Linked DNA regions of Coturnix japonica. The protein of the gene in region 2 purifies or fractionates together with the protein of the main gene of each other region. This does not show direct contact. Links are inferred from orthologs where the notes say so. Each region holds a gene or a part of one and is shown on either strand. Other genes may lie near its edges.

Region 1 (4,199 bases), on a different chromosome or scaffold from region 2:
GATACGTGAGTGTATATACATGTATACATGCAATATGTGCATACAGGAAATACAGTATTCAAAAAGCAAGCTGAATTCTGCTATTAGAGGCAGTTATTCTTTTACTTTATAAAGTTTATCATACAAGTTTTTTACTCTGTTATTTAAGCAGCAAGAATAAGATGCTAATTTTATAAAACAGAAAGAACTGATTTAAGCATCAATTATTAGTGCAATCTGTGGAATTCACAGATCTTGTAAGTGCTCTCCTGAACTCAAGGGATGGGAAACTTCAGATAAACTGCTCCTGATTATGCCCTGGACAAGGAAACAGCAATTTGCAATCAGTGTTTCAGTAAACTTCTATTGAGTCATTCCAACAAACTGCCATGATCACCCATACAGTAATCTACCACAGTACAGGTAAAGTTCTAGATTACATCTAGAAACCATTTTGGATAACAGAAAATACATTTTAATTATAATGCGGTAGTACAGTCAGTCTGACATGAGAGTACTACAGAACTGCTTTATACTGTTGTGGGTATCTGTACCTTGAGCTTTATGCAGAAGAAAAAAGAACAAATATTTTCTGTATCTTATTAATGATTCTCATAAGGGCTGTGTTTCCTCAAAGTTAAATTTTACTAAGGTTTCAAATTCCTGCACTGACTTTCTTCTTACAAAGTCAGAAATCATAAGACCACCCAGGTGTAGGTAATGAAACTGCATTCCTGAATAGCAGCATATTTGACGTTTCACTGACAGCCTTCTGCTGATACTTGCAAAGCAATCATTCCACATAAAGTTAAAAAGGAAAAACAAACATAGCAAACCACCTACTAACAACACTTAACAGAAAAATACATTCGTGTCTCCAGCACAACACCCTCCCTCCAAACTCAACTTTTACAAAGCTAGTGCTGTTTAAAATGTTACAGTTCATTCATAGTTAAATCCTACTGTGGTAAACTAGTTGTGTAAATGATCATATATATCAGTGGAAGACATTTTCTTAAAGTCCATTAAAAAAACCAAAAACCATGACATGCTCATGTTTTCTCAGCACTTTAGGATGAAGGAAGCATTGAAAATGAGATTTTGTTCCTAAGAACACCTCTTTAAGACTCAATCAAGTTTTCCTGTGGTAAGTCACTTAACAAACTTGTTGTGAGTTGTTATCCACCAAAATCCTTTACTCTTTCAACAGAAAGCAACACAAAAAGCAGATTCTGCTGCCTAGCAAAACCCCTCAAAAAGAAAAAGAGAGGGAAAAAAAAGTATCCAAGTCAACCAACAAAAAAGGCAGAACACAAAAACAGGAAAAAAAAGGAAAAAAATGACCTGGAGCACCAGGAAAACAATCCCAACACAACAGGACAGCAGCCAACTGAACACACGTTCATCTCCTGTCCTGTAACAAAGAACTCCTCACACTCTGTTCAGTGTTTTATGGGAACAGTCCTACAAGTTTGACACAAAGCAAAGCCGAGTTCAGCTGTACTGAAACCTCCTCCTACTGATCAGTGGGGCTGCTTTCTGCACACTGCGTACCGACCAGCAGCAGCTCAGCATCGCCCCAGCGGGAGCCTGGAGTACAGAACGGGAAACAGGGGTCGGCAAGAGCGGCTCTGCTGAGGACCCGCGTTACGCTACGAGCGGTGGTAAGAAGGCAGCAGAAACTCTTACAACGAAAAAGAACAAAGTCAACGACCCGCACAGGAGCAGCCCCAGCACCTCCAGAAAGACACCCAGACCGGGACAGCCGCCCCACCACCCACTAGCAGCGCTGCTCGCGGCCCATCCCCTTTCCCCCGCAGCCCATCACGGAGCTTCCCTGGGGACGCGGCGCCCGCGGCCACGCTCCTCCTTCCCGCCGCCCACCACAGCCAATGACCTCATCGGAGATGCGGCACACCCACCCGCGCTGCCCATTGGCCACGAGGGCCGCCTGTCACACCGCCGGCACCGCCCCTCGAGGACGGAGGAAAACACCCGAGGGACGCGAGCGCGCACAAGATGGCCGCGCTGGCAGGCAGCCAAGTCCCAGGCGGGGCAGCGGCCGCCTCCGCCATTAGCCCCCCTCCCCTCTGGTATCCCCTCATGTCGAGCTGGGGGTACCGCGCGCGACGCTGGGGTGGCAGCCGGTAAGATGGCGGCGGCCTCAGCCCCGTATGCAAAGTACCCACCGCCCCCTCCCCTCCGCCCTCCCGGTGGCAAAGGTAAAAGGGTCGGGTTCACGCCGCCGCCTCCGCCCGCTCAGACTCCATCTTCCCTCTCTGTCCGCGTCCCGCGCTCAGCATCTCCACGACCGCGGTCCCGGCGGCCCCCAGACGGCGGACGGCTCTCACCGAGACCGGACCGGCTCCGGCCTCACGAGGCCCGTATCCCAGCACGGCGTCTTCGTACCGGGATACCGTACCGGATCATCCCAGCGCCACGACGATCTGCCCCTCTCTTCGGGAGCCACGGGCCGGGCCTGCGGCACCGCCGGCTGCCTCTGCGCAGCGACGGACGGTGTTCCAGTGCCCCCACGTCCCCAGAACCGAGCGTTACCTTTCCCCTTTGCCGCTCGCGGAGGTGTTCCCGAACGGGATTCCGATGCCCCCTCCCTAGTCCCCGCCGCGACGAAGAAGCCGAGACGGCCGTCTCCATCTCAGAAAAAAAAAAAAAAAAAAAAAAAAAAAAAAAGACAAAACGATTTTTACCTCAGGAATTGACGCCAAACGTGGCCCGGCGGCGCCCCTGACCCGGGCCCGGGCGGGCCGGCGTTGGTGGCGGTGCCCAAAGGCGGCCCAAACCCCCCCTACGAGGGGCGGTGGCAGTGGGAGCTTAACGGGGTCCACGGAGGGATACAGGGGGTGGAACTGTGTTATGGGGCGGGGGGAGCGTGTGCGCGTGTGGGGGAGGGAAAGGGGTTCTGTGTTGTTTTTCAGGGCCTTGTGAAAGGTCAGAGTTCGTGACCCCGACCGCCGCCACCGACCGAGTGCGTCCCGACGCTTCCTCTTCCCGGCACCATGCCGCCCTCGGGCCCCTCCATCCCATCGCGGGGCGGGGCCGAGGATGGCGGCGGGGAGGGGCGGGGCTACCTGAGCCCCTGCGAGCCAGCGCTCCGCCGAGCAGAGCCAGGCCGCAGCCCGCGCGGTGGCGGCAGGACGAGCAGACCCAGCACCTGCGCGGCAGGTGGCGCTCGTCCCTGGGAGTGCCGGTGCGTTGTACTGAGGTGCTAAGTCACAAAAGGTTTGGTACTTTAAGGCTACTTTTACATAGTGTTGAGTTTTTGTTTGATTTTATCTGGTTGTTCTCACTGATTAGGGCTCGCCTAGTGGAACTAGGCCGTGAAGATTGTTCCACTTCGGAATGTATGACTGCAGGTGTTGTCTGGCATCTTTGCTGTAAACAGCTGAGGTGCTTTAGGAGTTCACTGCTGTTAGGGGCTTGTCATCTCTGTGGTCACTGAACGTGAACTCGTGGGCCCAGCTCTGTCATGTTTGTAGCATTTTTTAAACCTATGCTCATCACAATTACCTAGCTTAGTTTTAGTACTTCTAGTAAGTTTATTTCTTGTTAAGGAATGGTCAGACAGCGAAGCTGGAAGATGAGAAATGATAATAATTCTTGAATGTAAGAATGTGGATTCCTCCAAAAGAAGACGTTTCAAAACATATTTGCATACATTTTTCTTCATAAAATATAAAGTGTAGATGCTTTTTTTTTTTCTTTTTTTTTTTCTTTTTTTTTTCTTCTTTTTTTCCTTTCCAGGAGTGTGAGGGAAATCGTAGAATGGCCTGGGTTGAAAAGGCTCAGAGTGGTCATCCAGTTTCAACCCACCTGCTGTGTGCAGGGTCACCAACCGCCAGACCAGGCTGCCCAGAGCCACATCCAGCCTGGCCTTGAATGCCTGCATGGGGCATCCACAGCCTCCTTGGGCAACCTGTTCCACTGTGTCACCACCCTCTGGGTGGACAAACTTCCTCCTAAGATCCAACCTAAACCTCCACTGTCTCATTTTAAGACCATTCCCCCTTGCCCTATCACTATCCACCCTCATAAACAGCTGTTTCCCTCCTGAATATACATCTATGAACTTTTCAGTGTCCTGCAGTGTTGCTTAGGTATTTTTATTTTTTTAGGTATTTGCCATTCAGCTGTTCTCTGGTGATTATGTGAGCATGAGAGCAAAGAAATTTAGTTTAAAATGGCAGAAGCACAGAGAGGGT
Region 2 (3,563 bases):
GTGGAAGCTGGCTATTATTTATAACCTGGCAAGCAGGACTCAGTTAACTTAGAAATTCACTTAGCCAAAACAAACTGTTTCTCCTAACTGCAGGTAAAACAACATTCTGAATAACTTTAAAAGACTGAAAGTTTATATAAATAACAAAACCAGAATTATTTTAGTATAAATTCTCTTTAGTGTTTAATGGAGTGTATTTCAAACAGCAGATAGCCGGTGGTCCTGAAAGGCATTCAGAGTTGTGCTACCTGACCACATCATGAATTAGCCCACTCAGTAGAAGTTGAACAAAACACAACAAATGGAAGGAGAAATTCCTTGACATCTGTATCCAAAGTGGAGATGATTAAAAACAAATTTACTTGTTAAATTTTCTGTATTACATTCAGACTTTGTTGTTTAGCTATAACTCAACATGCTTCCCTTTTACATATCCAGGGACACACTGAACAAACCGTTCATTTCAGAACTTAGAGAGTGAAACATGGACCACTACACCTTTATCATTCAATAGTTAATACCAAAATGTTAAATAGCTTACACAAAATACATGGCAAGGCAATTTATCAAAGCAGGCATACTAATGCTATTTCTTACTAAGAGGAATACGTTGATTCTGTTTATTACAAAACTGCATAGATTGTGGCAGACCAACAAAAAACCACTATCTGTGGTACATCTGAAATTGTCCCAAACACCTTCAAGATAAGAGTATTGCCATGACAATGAAATTTAACTTGAAGTGTATCGCTACTGTCTGAAACAAGATCCCTAGCTAATGTAAACCAGAATGACTTCAGTCAAGAGATCTGGCTCAACATAGCAAGCAACTTCCAGTTTCTTCAAGCAGTGAAAAAAACTTCCCAGGATTTTTATACCTGGGACAATCTGGATAACTTGGTTATCGACAAAATGTGCTGACTTTTCAGCCTGCTGGCTGACTTCAATCAAAACTGTAAAAGATACTAATACATAACTCATGGAAACTGCTACACTGAGCAGATAGAGTACATTAATACCTCCGTCAGAGAGAAGATAATAGAGTGTTCAGAGCTTAGCTGTTCTCTAAATAAATATTCTCAAAAGCCACACAGAAAAAATGCAAGCTGATTTGGGTATAAGCAAACAGTATATGCTTACCTGTTGGAGTACTGCTACGAAACGAAGAGGAAGGAGTGATTGGAGGGGTGACGGGAGGAGTAAGGCTTCCACTGCTGTGGCGAGGTGGAGTAGATACATTCCCACGGGACACTGTGCTTGACAAAGTCAAAGAGAGTTTCGGCTGAATCTTCTTCTTTAAAGACTCCTGCTCACGTCGAGCAGCATCAGTCATAAACCTAGAAAAAGGGCAATCATGAGGATGAGAGACTTCAACAGCTGCCAGAGTGAAAGCTTTAGGTAATACGCTCACTGACCAACTGGAGCTTCAAAATCAGCCATGACTTCTCCAGTAGAATTCTAATCCTTATTTGCTCTCCCTTCCACTGAACAAGGAGCCATCTTGAAAGATTCATAAAAAGACAGCCCAAAGAAAATCATCTTTTATTCTGCATGGTCCTCTACTGTTATTCCAAGGCATAAACTATGTCTGCCAGTAAATAATATAATAACACGTGATACAGAATGTTTAAGTTACATAGAATCATTAAGGTTGGAAAAGACCTCTGAGATTATGTAGTCCAACCATCAACCCATACCCACCATGCTAACTAATACATGTCCTTCATGCCACATCTACACTCTCAAAGGTTTCTCTGATTTCAGAGGAAGCCAGATTTTAGCCAAGATCCCAGGTTTAAATGATGAACTTACAACCTTGGCAAATTGTGATGGGCGTATTCAGATAAGTGAGAACTTCTTTGCTGACTATATGCTGCAGTTGCCCTGGAGCCAGCTGTCACCTAGAAACTCCTATTTGTGATTCCGCAAGGAAACAGAATGACAAAAATTACCAGCAATTATTTGTATTGGACTAAGTAAGGGCAACCTGGCTATCTTTCAATAGTCACACCAAATGGCTTGTTGTGTGAGGTGACGTCCCACTAGTTTAGAAGACATAAAAGCAGCCCCAAAACCAGCACAGAGCTGGGAGATAGATGTACAGTTAGCAACAGACTTGAGAAAAGGGATCACAGCAGTCAGCGTATGAAGAAGCAGACTGCTGGCTGGTTGGACAAAGTGATTCTGCAGATCGCAGTATTGTAATGATTGCACATAAAACACCCAAAACTAGTAGTGCACAGGTGAGGAGCAATGATGCCAGGGCCAAAGACCCACCTTGGGTCTCACAGCAATACACAATATACCACACAATCTACAACACAGTGCTACAAGAAAGTCTCATTTCTTCTGCGAACTCAAACAACAGTTTCAATTAATGTTAATCAGTGTATTCATGGAAACCCAACATTCTGTGACTGCTCACAGCACCTGCTGCTTATGAGTGCATGCATATTAGATAGTATTTACAGAGAGAGCTCTAAAAAACCCAGCTCTTGTGGAATGGTGAAATGTAAGGAACTAGAGGGGAACTAATAAATAAAAGAAGAAAAAAAGGGGCTTTTAGACCTGTATGTCAAATATGAAAGAAAATATTGGCCTGTACCTCCAGCTTGTTTGAAAAAGCAATCGAGGTATTGTAACACAGCAGCACAAAAACTCAAGTATCCTTAGAATAATAAAGATGCATCCCGTCCAACCATACCATGAGGGCATTAAAAGTGGATCTCTGCCATGATATGTACCATCAACACACAATCTGCAGACATTAATAAATAGGTATATGACACGACAGCTTATCTTCTTTGTAACAGAGTCAATGCATCATGTCAAACACAGATATGGCATTTTTATTAAGTTAATATTTAAAAAGAAGATATCCATAGTAACAGTTCAGTTTTAAATTTCTTTTCTCGCAAAAGGGTAGAGATATTATTAGCAAAACAGTCCCCAAACAGGATTCTAAATTTCATTAAAGGGAAAAAAAGAAAAGCAATAATAAAATGGCCTTTCAGTACACATTTACTTTCTGTTCACCAGGAAACATCTAATTCACTGTGTTTGGAACCTGTAGTATGATGTGTGCTTGCTTCTGGATGGGAAGCCTTATTCCTTATGAAAATGTTATGGCAACATTATAAATCCTTGAGAACTTGGATGATAACCTCAAGCGTGAGACGTTAAAAAGCACCAGCATGAATGCTGTTATTTAATGAACTCAGCCATGAATAACAATGTTAAAATAATATTGGGGTATAATTAGTCTGGTTGAGGTCCATAAAAATCAGGAAAATGTGAAACTTCTCCCTGTCCTGTTAACTCACTCCCATTTGGGCTAAGCATGTCGGGTATGTTCCAAAATGTCATTTGTTGTCTACACTGAAACTTGAGAGAGATGGAAGGCAGAGTGTGTTGAAAAGTTCAGTTCCTGATATGTGAAGTATGAAATTAACCTTTTCAGATCCAAATAATCTCCTATATGTTTGCCGAAGCACTGTCAGTACTAAGCTTTCAAAAAGAAATCTTGTTTAAATAGATCAAATAAAACATTTTTCAGTATTCTA

Evidence for each region.
Region 1: the proteins of JAZF1 (region 2) and NR2C2 purify together in Homo sapiens (affinity purification with mass spectrometry; 4 studies listed by BioGRID and IntAct, with this or other methods). This does not show direct contact. The link is inferred for Coturnix japonica from reciprocal best matches to the Homo sapiens genes JAZF1 and NR2C2.

What each region holds. Positions count from the first base shown.
Region 1 is NC_029527.1:17,099,516-17,103,714, forward strand, and holds the start of NR2C2 (nuclear receptor subfamily 2 group C member 2), read right to left. Parts: upstream 2,801-4,199; 5' UTR 2,688-2,800; exon of another isoform or gene 2,280-2,687; intron 2,127-2,279; exon of another isoform or gene 1,919-2,126; intron 1-1,918. UniProt on the Homo sapiens protein: Orphan nuclear receptor that can act as a repressor or activator of transcription.
Region 2 is NC_029517.1:30,231,975-30,235,537, forward strand, and holds part of JAZF1 (juxtaposed with another zinc finger protein 1), read right to left. Parts: intron 1,338-3,563; coding exon 1,141-1,337; intron 1-1,140. UniProt on the Homo sapiens protein: Acts as a transcriptional corepressor of orphan nuclear receptor NR2C2. Inhibits expression of the gluconeogenesis enzyme PCK2 through inhibition of NR2C2 activity.